3 linked regions of the Cricetulus griseus genome follow. Each later gene encodes a partner of the first gene's protein in a complex. Links are inferred from orthologs where the notes say so. Each region holds a gene or a part of one and is shown on either strand. Other genes may lie near its edges.

Region 1 (4,094 bases):
ACCAGAAACTGGAAGGATCTACTCTAAAGCCTCTAGAAGGCACCAGTCCTGCTGAAAACCCAATTTCAGACTTTAAGCCTTTAGAACAATGGGAGAATAAATATATGTTGTCCTAAGTCCCCTGTTTACAACACTTCATTACCATGGCCACAAGAAGCAACTGTGAAACACATTACCTACGTCTCAGTCACATGCTACATCCCGACAATTACCATGTCCTAAGACTTCAGATTCTTTTGTTTTTTTCAAGATGGTGTCTCACTACATAGCCCTGGCTGTCCTCAAACTCACTCTGTAGACCAAGCTGGCCTCAAACTCAGAGACCCCCCACCTGCTTCTGCTTGCCAAGTGCTGGGATTAAAGGTGTGCACCACTGTATCCAACTAAGACCTTGGATTCTTATGTGTCAGCCCCTGCTCCACCCAATGCTTCATCCTCTGAAAATATACCTTACATTTCCCACTTGATGTCCCCTCCACCTCGGTCCATTTTATTCCCTGTGGAGTCAGCAGCCTTGCTCATTCAAAGCCCCCAGGAGGCAAACCAAAACGCAAGTGAAGGTCCCTTATGCTCAGCAGGAAAGATGTGGAAAGCCAAGCTGGGTAGGAAGAAGGAATGCAAGTTCCAGAAAGTTCCAGGGATTCATCAGCACAGACCCAACCCTAGAACAAATTGCTGAGGAGGCAGGGTGAAGTGGAGGCTCGGCCAGAACCACACTCATGCCCCGGAACAGCCAAGAACATTCCTCAGAGCTCCACCCGGAGGAGCGGATTCCACAGAAGGAAGGCAACTCTAGCACCACACAGAAGTACCTGTGGCTCTGCTATGGCTTGGGTGTGGTCCATCCCTCAAAGACCAAGGCTTTTGGTGCCCAGCCTGCCATGGCCTGCTCTCTAGCTAGCTAGAGTGGGCGAAGGGTGCCTAACTTGCACTGAGGACAGGAAATAGCGGCTACCACTGCCAGAACTCAGTCCTTACCTCAGACCAGCCTCTGAGCCAAACCTAACTTTAACCCCACAGGTTAATTTAACCCTCATTATTATTAACTTAAGAAGCAACAGAGAGCTAACAACACTAAGTTTCCACAGTAACTGGAAAGTGTTAACAGGTTAGAAGCAGCTTACCCCAGTGCTGCTGGGCCCGGCTCTCCAGGAAGGGTCTCATCTGGATGAGGCGGGTGGCATAAATATGAGCATACTGTCTGCTAAAGCTGCGCTCTCCCAGTCGAAAAGGCTGTGAGGAGTTGGTATAAGTTGCCACAGGCACCCGGGCAAAGGTGGCATTGCTGGCTGATGGTGGGGAGAGCAGAGTGTGGGCCCTCTGTGCTGCCTGCTCTGAGAACATGGCAGCGTTCCTGGCTTGTTCTGTCCACGCCGCTGTGTCCAGGCTAAGGAGCATCACTGTAAAGACACACAAAGTCACCCCTGCAACTCCTACTTGAACCCGAAGCAGGAGCTCCCCTGGTGTCTCAACCAAGCTGCCCACACTGCATCTGATGGGCACCGAGATATGTCTGGAGACAGCACCCTGTAGCCTTAGTCAGATAAAACCTGGAGCTTGAGCCAAACCCTGTTCATCTCCTCCATATTTCTACCCAGTTACCAGGGTCTCAAATTCGGCATACCCACAACAGAATTATTGATCTGCCTTCATTCACTTCCTTGGAAACTACCTTACTTCTGGGAATGCTGCCAAGCATCGTCAAAGAAGCTTACCACAGTATAATCTGGCTTACACTTCCACAGCACAGTCCATTACAGAGGGAGGTCAGGACAGAAACTCAAACAGAACAGGAACCTGGAGTCAGGAGCTGATGCAGAAGCCATGGAGAGGTGCTGTTTACTAACTTGCTCCTCATGGCTTACTCAGCATTTTTTTTTTAATTTTGATTTTATATGCATTGGTGCTTTGTCTGCATGCATGTCTGTCCGAGGGTGTCAGATCCCCTGGAACTGGAACTACAGGCAGGTGTGAGCAGCCATGAGAATGCTAGGAATTGAACCTGGATCGCTGGAAGAGCAGCCAGTGCTCTTAACTTCTGAGTGCTCACCAACCATAAGACAATTAGTGATAAAAATAAAACGTAAAGCTGCCCCTGCTCTGCTCAAGACTCTCCAATGGCTGCTATTTTAGTAAACAAAGCCTCAAGTTCTTAACACTACCTGTAAGATTTGTTCCTCCCCTCCCACCTGTTTCTCCTTCCAAGTGTCCTTTCCACAGCAGGGGCTCCAGCAGAGGCCTGTCTACTCTCTGTTGGCTCTTCTCCTGTGCCCCACAGGTTCACTGGATCTTCCCCTTCAAGTCTTTCCTTAAAACTCACTTCCCCACACCTAATTTACTACATCTGCCACTCCAATTGTTTGCATCTCTCAAGCATTTACTTTGCCTCCTCCAAATGCACTCAAAGTTCCAGGGAGGCCGGTTTTTGTTATCTTCAAGGAGGTATTGCACAATTGTCCCACAACGAGTCCAATTAAGATGTGCTCCGGGGATGCACGGAGGATTTCAGTAAATAATAACGGCTGGTTAAACATTTTTCATGCGTAGGTTAAACGACAACAGTCTGGATGTAGTAAGTTTAGAACACAGCCTTCTTTTCATTTTACTTTTTTGGTACAGCTAATACAAAGTTCAAATTCTTCTTGCTGGCTCTGCTTTCTTTAATGTGCAGCTCTGGCGTAGGAAGCGAACTCAACGAATTTGCCAAAAGGGCGCGTGTGAATTCAATGTAAGCCGAACACGCAGTGGTGGGCAGCGGCCCACACGGTGCCCGCAGCCAGACGCGACGGACGACCCGCCCCGCAGCAGGCGCCCCCAGCTCGGGCCTACGCAGCAGTCCGAAGCACCATCGAGACCCCAGCCCGTGGCCCCGGGAGCCCCCAGCCTGGCCCAGCACCCACATTAACCCCTCTCAGCAGCACACTCACCGCGCCGCGCCGCATCCCGCCAATCTCCGCGCGCCCATCCCGCCCATCACCGCATCCGGCCAATCGCCGCCCGCCCCGCCCCGCCCATCGCCGCACGCCTCGTCCGGCCAATCCTCATGTGCCCCGCCTCTGGAGGCCGAGGGACCGCGAAGCCACGCCTCCGGTTGCCCTGACAACGTGCCCCCCCCCGTAGATTTCCTGCGCATGCGAGTGTTTGCGGCTAGGTTACACAGTGTGAGCACGTTGGGTGTCATGGGCCGTTTTGAGCCTCTCAATCCGGGTCATGTCACACTTCCCTGGCTCTGGTGACCTGGTGGCTCCTGGGTGGATGAAGCTTTCCTCCAACTCTCTGTCCAACGCTGTGATACTCGCTCCAGCTTCAGAAGGCCTGTCCTAACAAAGCAGCTCATAGTAATCTGTGCAAGATAGCCACTATTCTGAATTCTCCGGTCTCATTGCACCCACTTCTCAGATTCCCTTTGAAGCATGAGCTAGTCTCCCATCTCACAGGCAGGGAAACCAAGGCAAAGAACAATCACCCAGCGGAATCTGGGATTCACACTAATACACCCTGGTTCTGTTTTTGGTTTTTAGTGGCTTTTAAAAAAAATTAATTGTGTCAATGCATGTGTGTCTGTGTATGGGTATATGCACGTGGCCTCAGAGGAGTACAAAAAGAGTGTGGGATCCCTTGGAGCTGGAGTTACAGGTGCTGTGAGCTACTCAACGGTGGGTGCTGGAGCCCAGCGCCAGCATTCTGAAAGAGTGGTTAGTGCTCTTGACTGAGCCCCTCCCCAGCCTCTTGTTTCTGCTTTAATAATGATTTTAATAATTTGTTTTTTTTAATATTTCACTTTGTCAAATAGTGTTTCCTATGTAGGTTGGGGTGAGTGTGGGGTGTTGGCCTGCTGGTGCAGGTTGTCTGTGGCATTTTTAAATACTATGTTGAAACATTTTTTTTTTTTTTTTGGTTTTTTGAGACAGGGTTTTTCTGTAGCTATGGGGGCTGTCCTAGAACTCACTCAGTAGACCAGGTTGGCCTCGAACTCACAGAGATTTGCCTGTCTCTGCCTCCCACGTGCTGGGATTAAAGGTGTGCACCACCAACATCGGGTGAAACATTCTTGTATTCCAGGGACAAGTCCCATTTGATGGACAAAGAAACTA
Region 2 (3,999 bases), on another chromosome or scaffold:
ACCCCACGCCCCTTTTCTTCTGCGTTAACCCGTAGTAAAATCTTGCACGTGTTCAGAAATACGCGGCGACTTTCATTAGCCTTGTTCCTTACGCCAAACATTTTCTCTGAAAAGCTCTCAGGGCTTACCCCGCGGCCGGGAGCGGAGTGGAGGGAGGTGACGGGGGCAAACAAGTCTTTACGTGCACTCGCTCGCTCCTGCTGGGGTGCAGCCTGCACGGCCGCGGAGGAAACCACAGTCAATGCACTAGTCCTGGAGAGGGGTGCAGGGAGAAGGCGAGCGGGGGGGGGACAGGGGGGGAAAACAGGGGGCGGGAGAAAAACACGGCGGTGGGAAATCCCTGCGCTGTGTATTCGCCAACCCTGGGCAAAGCTGGGCAGGGCCGCGCGTGAATAAATCTCATTAAGTGGCCGGGCGCAGGCACTGCAGCACCGCAGAAGAGGAGGGGGCGAGGCGGAGCGCCGGGCTCGCCCGAGCTGGGGGCGGGGGAGCCAGCGAGCGAGCGAGCGAGCGAGCGAGCGCCAGGGCGGCCCTTTTATAGGCCGAGGCCCGCGCGCCCCCGCCCCTCGCGCTGGCCCGGGCTCCGCGCACGGCGCACGGCCCGGCGTTACCTGAGAAGGGCCGGCTCGTCCCGCGCCCCGCCCGCCCCGCCCCGCCCCGGCCCGGCCGCCAGCCCGCCCTCCCTCCCGCGAGGCCCGGGCCGCACGAGATCTACGCCGCGCCTCCCTTCTCCCGCGGGCGGCTTCCCTTACCTTGTGCGGGGGGGGAAAAAAAAAAATCCTCTCCGCGGCCGCGCCCGCCTCCTCTAGAGGACGTGAAATGGCGGTCGGCGAGGCGAGCGCGAGGAGCCTCCAAAACCCAGCGCCCCTCCGAGCCCATCCATGATATCGGCGCTCCCCCGGCCCCGCCGCAGTGACCCAGCCCACAGGCCGAATCATCGATTCCTCGGCGTGCGCCGCGCGGCCCGGCTTCCCGCCGTGCTCTTGCCGAAGCCGCGCGCTCCGGGCCGGGGAGAACGCCTTCCTCGCCCCCCAACCGGGTCCCCGCCGGGGCGCGCGCCCGGCCCACCCCGCCGCCCTCCCCGGCCCGCCGCCGCCGCCGCCACCCTCGCGCACTCACACTCACACACTCACACACACACACACACACCCCTCCACCCCTCCCCCAGTGGTTGCGTCCGTGACATCATCATCATGGCAACAAGAGCTGCAGCTTGGGACCGAGGAGCCCGTGTGATTCCCGGCGGCGGCGGCCGTGGCGGCAGCAGCAGCGGCACCACCCGACCCGACGAACGCGCCAGGGCTTCTCTCCCGCTGCCTCTCGCCGGGAGCGTGTGAGGAGGCGGCGGCAGCACCACAGCCCCGCACCCCCGGCGCGTCGCCGCTCGTCCCGGCGTCCGTGCGAGGGGAGGGAGGAGGGAGAGAGCCGACCCGAGCGAGAAGGGGAGGAGGCGCCTCTGCGGAGCCGCCGCCGCTGCTGCCGCCGCTGCCAGGTCGCCAGTGGAGGGGAGGCGGTGGCGGCGGCGGCGAACATGTTTTCTGTGAGGATAGTGACTGCCGACTACTACATGGCCAGCCCGCTGCGGGGGCTGGATATCTGCCAATCCCCCCTCACCCAGCTCCCTGTCAAGAAGGTGCCGGTGGTACGAGTCTTCGGAGCGACCCCGGCAGGTAAGCGGGAGCGGGCGGGCGGGAGTGCGAGCGGCGGGGCGCCGGGGCTGCCCTCCCCGCCGCCGCCGCGTAGTCGCGCGCACGCCGGCCGCCGGCCCTCTCCGGGGTCGCTGCGGACTCTTCCCTCTTCCTCGCTCTGCTCGCCTTTTCTCCCGCGCGTGACAGGAGGCGCAGAAAAATGTGGGTTCGTGCGAGCGCTGCGCCCCCCTCCGCGGCAGAGAGGCAGCGGGCGCCGGGTACGGACTGTGCGAGCGGCGGGCGGGCTGGGGCCCCGGCTCGGTGGCTGTGCCTCGTCCCCCCAAGGACGAGTTCGCGGGTGGGTCCTCAGAGGTCGGTGGTTGGTGGGACCCCGGACACCCGCTGCGCCTCCCTAGAGCCCTGTTCTAGAAATGGCTTTGAGCGCTGAGGGGAAGTGTCAGCCCTGTTGTCAGGCGCTCGCTGTTGCCTCTTTTCACCCTCGCTCTCCTCTGCCCCTGCCGGAGAAGCTGTGGCTGTAGAAAGTGGCGCCCGGGGCCAGATAATCTTTCTCATTGAAGTGACCATGTGGTTGTGCTGGAGTGCAGGTCGTGACTGCTTAGAGTTTAATGCCTCGGCGGGGACAGAGCGGCATCCTCAGGTGCAATGCTTTCAGGAAACGTGCATCCGTGGAAATAGGAAATGCGTGCTTGTGTCGCCCCACATAAAATATTACACTTAACGGGGTGAATTCGTTAGGAAACACAGCCAAGCTCAGCAGCAGAGACGTTTTTAAATGCCTCTAGGCTGGGTTGTAGGGCTGCATTTTAAAAATAGAAAAGGGGGGGGGGACTATTTCGAAGAAATGGTGGGAAAAATGACAGAAGCTATGTTCTGGAACACTCGTTGGAATTTATAATATAAATAGGATAGTGGCCAAATACACATGGTTTTCCTGTTTTCATTTTTTCTGTTTTGCTTTTTACATGCTTTTAAACTGTTAACGTGAAATGATAGAGCGGCTTTCTGGAGGAAGATGTTCTTGCCCAGGTTTCGCCCTATGGGATTTTAGATAGCATTTCCCACTTGATGCTCCTTGGCCTCATCGCCACTCATCTTTGTTATTATCGTCAGCTTCTGTGCACTACCAAGATGATACCACTTTCCAAAATGTAGGCCCCCATCCTAAGCTATTACCTTTTAATGTGAATTCTCTTTGTTAAAAATGTCAATGCTATAAATAAGGTTTGGCAAAAGACTCCTTTTTCAAATAGTGGGAGTTTGACGCTGTGAACCGTGGAAGATAGAGAAATCGAATGCTGTTAACAGTTTGTGCAGAGTACAGCCCTTGGTACTTGAAAGACTGGAAGATAAGAGGCATTATACTGTTCTGCAGGATAGGTTTTCTACCTTTTTAAATATCGTGGTGCTGTCTTTGTTTTGATGGGAAACACCCTGCTTGTTCTCGATTCAGGGGCAGAGAATGATAAGTGAAGTTGATTTTCAAGTTGTAGAGCAACATGCTAATAGGATGTGTTGTGGTGTAGCAGTTTGTACGCTGGTTGAGTTGCTCTTCTACAGTTTTGTTTTTCCTGCTACACTCACTAAATATGTATTTCTGGGTGATTTTAAAGGTGTATTATGTAAGAAAGTTTTGTTTGTGGAAATACAGCACAGATTATCACTAACAGCACAGTTTTGTGGAAGAATATCCTTTACATATATATAGACTGTGGTATATACACCTGTGTTTCTGAATATTGGAATGTGAAATATTTCAAAAGAAGTATTTATCTCTTCTTTCCTTCCTGAATATCTTACAATAGGTCACTAGCCCCTAATTAAAAAAAAAAGAAAAAAATCACTGTATTATGGTATACTTTGAAATGTCTAATGTAAATGAATAAAAACATACTTTTCAAACTTCAAATTGCCAGAGATTATCCGGTTGAAAGAGGTAAAATTTATAGGCTTAAACAAAATTTTCTGTTTCAAGCATGACACATGGATGAATATAAATGTCAGTTTAGCACTCAATGATTCATTCATTAATGTATGTTAATAATTTACTTGGTTGGATATGCCTTGGAGCTGAGGTCAAGAGAGAAAACAATAAAATAATTCCTTACATAGTATAAAACAATTCTTGTCTCCTCAACAAGAAGAAAATTGAAGTAGTTGGCATACACTGAACGTCTACAGTTTTCATAAATCAAGCATTTCTTAATGTTAGAAAATCCCAGTGGAATTAATATTAATTCAGTCTCAAAAACTAAGCTGCAGAGTTTTCTGCTTTTGAATTCTCTTCCCAAAGAAAACTAGTCCAGGCCACATAGAGAAATAAAACTTGAAAATAATAATGTAATAGAGAGGT
Region 3 (3,533 bases), on another chromosome or scaffold:
AATTTTACTTAATGCTGAACACCATATGACATAACTGATTTCCATGTTTGTTTTGCTATATTTCAGTGGTAGTAACACCCACGGAGACCTATGGTGTCAGAACATAATAGTTGCTTACAAGCTGGGCACCTCAGACAGGCTTTTTGCTGGCTGGTCAGGGAAGGAGACTCAGAGTGCTTTTCTAAGTACCACCAGGGGACACCAGAGGCTGCTCAGCTCATGAGAAGACTGCCTTAGAAAGACAGATAGGGAAGCCAGGTGGTATAGTGACACAGCCTTTAATCCCAGCACTCAGGAGGCAGGGGCAGGCAGATCTCTGAGTTCAAGGCTAGCCTGGTCTACACAGAGAGTTCCAGGACAGCCAGGGCTACACAGAGAAACCATGTCTTTGCGGCGGGGGGGGGGGGGACAGACAACACAAAAGCCTATAGCTGGCTCTCCTGCCTACTTACCTTTTGGGAACTGCCAGCTAGAGCAGAGTCATATTAAGGGACTAAAGGTCAGGATTTCAGGCTTAATGTACTTTATTGTAAGCGTTAGTGAACTCTTTGATTCTTCTGACATCTGGCTTTGAGTCAGGCTGTGCTGGATTTACTACATCAGAGAGGGTATGGCAAGCATCTGGTGGTCATGATTAGGCCCCGGAGGTGTGGTCTCAGGAGCATCAGGAGCCTGTTGCTTGGACAGGTAAGAGGCTGAATCAGGATGACCTCCACAGTCAGCCTGCTAACTGTTTCTCCAGAGCTGAGATGAGCAGAGCAGCATCTACTGGCCATGGATTCTGTCCAGAAGTTCTTGGTGGCTAGGAGGTGTCAAGGGAAGAACAACCCGGGTGGAACCTCAGAGTGGGTAGAGATGCCAGAGGCTGTGGGAGACAGGGGAGGAGGAGGAGTGCAGAGCAGAGTCAGTTCTATTCCTTGATGGATCTTCAGCAGTTCTTAACTATTGTGTGTGCTTCTGTGGCTTTGATGAACCCCCAGTACTCAGATAGCCCCATGGGCCCTGTATATACTCTTGCACCACCATTAGCTCTTAGAGGTAAGGATCATTAAAGGGGTCTGTCTTGAGCCAGGCACCTAGAAGACCCTTCTTACTTGTCAGGAAGGACCCCTTAAGTCTGTGCCCATTTCTCCAAGTCAAGGAAGCCCCTATGCAGACCAGAGAGTGGCAACTCCTAGAGAAGGGCCTGGTTCCCTGAAAGCTGTCCTGACCTGAATTGGAAGCGGGGGTCTTCAGAGTGTGTCTTCAGCACCTGGTGCACCTCTAGAGGGGGCTTCAAGCCCATCTGCTCTGCCCGATGCCAGCGCTGCATCCGTGTGATACCTGCCAGGGTGGAAAGAAGACTCAGCAGGGCAGAAGAGTCCAGGCTAGAGGCCTCCACACATGCCAGTCTCAGGAGACAGTGTTAGGCAGGCACTTGGATTATTTCTGAAACACATCGATGACAGAACTGGTTCAGAGATGTGCCTGGTGGGCTGGAGGTGGGGTTCTCACCTGTGCAAGGCCCATACTGCCAGGCCAGGTCAAACTGCCTCAGCAGCTCCAGCTGTGCTTCCTCCTGGCTGAGGGACTGGGTGTCTTCTCCTGCAATAACATGCAGCTCCTCAGGCCCATCCAGGCCTTTGCCCTACCCTGGACACAGCTGTGCCACTGGCTGTATCTTCACTCATTTGCCTTTGCCATCCAGCAGCCAGACAGCTCATCAGAAGTATGAGACATACTAGCTTCTCTCTCTCTCTCTCTCTCTCTCTCTCTCTCTCTCTCTCTCTCTCTCTCTCTCTCTCTCTCTCTCTCTCTCTCTCTCTCTCTCCTCTCCCCCCTCCCCTTTCTGGTCCTTGCATACTTGCATACCCACTCTTTCTGCCACCCCCACATTTCAGAGACCTAGCTCTGGTGCCAGCTCCCTCTTGCTGTGCCCAGGGGGCCCCTCCCTCTTCTTCACAACAGGGTAGGAGTCAGTGATGAACCGCTTCCGGCCCATGGCGGCCACCCAGGCAGGCGGAGCAGGAGGCAATAGCGGGAAAGAAAAGGCAGGGCAGTGGGCCTGTGAAAGACAGCTGCTGAGAGTGTGAGAGAGGGCCAGAGAGAGATGGGCCAGCGATGGACAGACAAGTTGACCCAGACAAGCAGAGAGAGGAAGTCCCTAGGTTCCAGAGAATGACGCCTGTCTTCCGCCCCCACAAGCACGCAAACATCAGAGCCTAAGCAAATGGCAAGCGGCCTTTGTGGGGCGGGACCCTAATTTTAGCCAATGGCAGTCGTCAGAGGGCAGGGGGTGGGGCAGCTGCTGCTGCGTCCGAGTGAGGAGGGTTTAGGCGGAACCAAGGACCTGTCAAGATGCCCCAGACTTCACCACCTCCTCCGGTCCCTCATTGGTCCACTTGGGTCCCTAGGGACATATAGAGAGTTATCCTCAGCCTCTCACTTCCCGTTTTTCCTTCCTAGGCAAATGTTCTTTTCAGCCTCACTAATCCCCGTGGCCAGTTTGTAAGTCCCCTGAGCCCGGCTGGAACCTTTTACTCCTGCCGGTTGGCCCCAGAGCGTTGTGGGATCAGATCTTTAGGTCCAAAGAGAGTTTGAACTAATCCTGGCCTTTTCCCTGCTCCTACCGGCCCCAAGAGACCTGGCTGGAGAAGCCCATGGGCTCCGAAGGCTCCTTTCTCACAGTCCGCTGGCAGAGACACTGTCCACCCAGCCCAGGCATGCGGTTGCTGTGTCCACTGTCAGGCCCGACAGCCTGCCTCTGTCCACTTTGCTAGTCAGGAAGATTCCATTCCAAGCAGGATGCCAGAAGTCTAGTCCCCACTCCCTATGGGTTCAGATCCCCAGTTCTCCCCCGCTGCCCCCTTTTGGTTTTTGAGGCAAGGTTTCTCTGTGTAGCCCTGGCTGTCCTGGAGCTCACTTTGTAGACCAGGCTAGCCTCAAACTCACAGAAATTGCCTTACAGAGATTTGCCTGCCTCTGCCTCTGCCTCCTGAGTGCTGGGATTAAAGGTGTGTGCCACCACTGCCTGGCATAGATCTCCAGTTCTTTTTTTTTTTTTTTTCGAGACAGGGTTTCTCTGTATTGCTTTGGAGGTTGTCCTGGAACTAGCTGTTGTAGACCAGGTTGGTCTCGAACTCACAGAGATCCACCTGCCTTTGCCTCCCAAGTGCTGGGATTAAAGGCGTGTGCCACCAATGCCCAGCTTAGATCTCCAGTTCTTAACTGACAGATATGCTCTGTTTCTTAGAAATGTGTATATAACAGAAAATAACATCAATAAACCTTTCCCTTATATTGGGCTTACCATGTGCCTAGAGCTGTACTAAGCAGTTCCCACAACCTTATTCAAAATAGACATCAAAAGAGTTTTGCAAGTGGGTGTAGGTAAATTGTGATCAGGGCTCTTAGTAACAGATACTGTGTAACTAGCCTTCCTTGTGCTCCAGAAGATCCCAAGCTTGCAGGGTAGAGGGGCATCCAGTTGTCAGACCTGTACAGGAAAGCAGAAGGAGAAAGAACTCCTTAGAGCTAGAGGAGGATGGTGGGCA

The links. The genes of interacting proteins can lie anywhere in the genome.
Region 2: Pold2 (region 1) and Rev3l share a complex: the UniProt entries of both Homo sapiens proteins name them as parts of the tetrameric Pol-zeta complex. The link is inferred for Cricetulus griseus from reciprocal best matches to the Homo sapiens genes POLD2 and REV3L.
Region 3: Pold2 (region 1) and Pold4 share a complex: the UniProt entries of both Homo sapiens proteins name them as parts of the tetrameric DNA polymerase delta complex. The link is inferred for Cricetulus griseus from reciprocal best matches to the Homo sapiens genes POLD2 and POLD4.

Annotation. Positions count from the first base shown.
Region 1 is NW_023276807.1:98,956,727-98,960,820, reverse strand, and holds the start of Pold2 (DNA polymerase delta subunit 2), read right to left. Parts: upstream 2,801-4,094; 5' UTR 2,383-2,800; coding exon 2,382-2,382; intron 2,341-2,381; exon of another isoform or gene 2,190-2,340; intron 1,777-2,189; exon of another isoform or gene 1,716-1,776; intron 1,401-1,715; coding exon 1,125-1,400; intron 1-1,124. UniProt on the Homo sapiens protein: Accessory component of both the DNA polymerase delta complex and the DNA polymerase zeta complex.
Region 2 is NC_048595.1:262,232,244-262,236,242, forward strand, and holds the start of Rev3l (DNA polymerase zeta catalytic subunit), read left to right. Parts: upstream 1-1,199; 5' UTR 1,200-1,531; coding exon 1,532-1,670; intron 1,671-3,999. UniProt on the Homo sapiens protein: Catalytic subunit of the DNA polymerase zeta complex, an error-prone polymerase specialized in translesion DNA synthesis (TLS). Lacks an intrinsic 3'-5' exonuclease activity and thus has no proofreading function.
Region 3 is NC_048596.1:55,018,304-55,021,836, forward strand, and holds Pold4 (DNA polymerase delta subunit 4), read right to left. Parts: upstream 2,188-3,533; 5' UTR 1,982-2,187; coding exon 1,885-1,981; intron 1,585-1,884; coding exon 1,495-1,584; intron 1,324-1,494; coding exon 1,212-1,323; intron 866-1,211; coding exon of another isoform or gene 841-865; exon of another isoform or gene 803-840; coding exon 766-802; 3' UTR 501-765; downstream 1-500. UniProt on the Homo sapiens protein: As a component of the tetrameric DNA polymerase delta complex (Pol-delta4), plays a role in high fidelity genome replication and repair.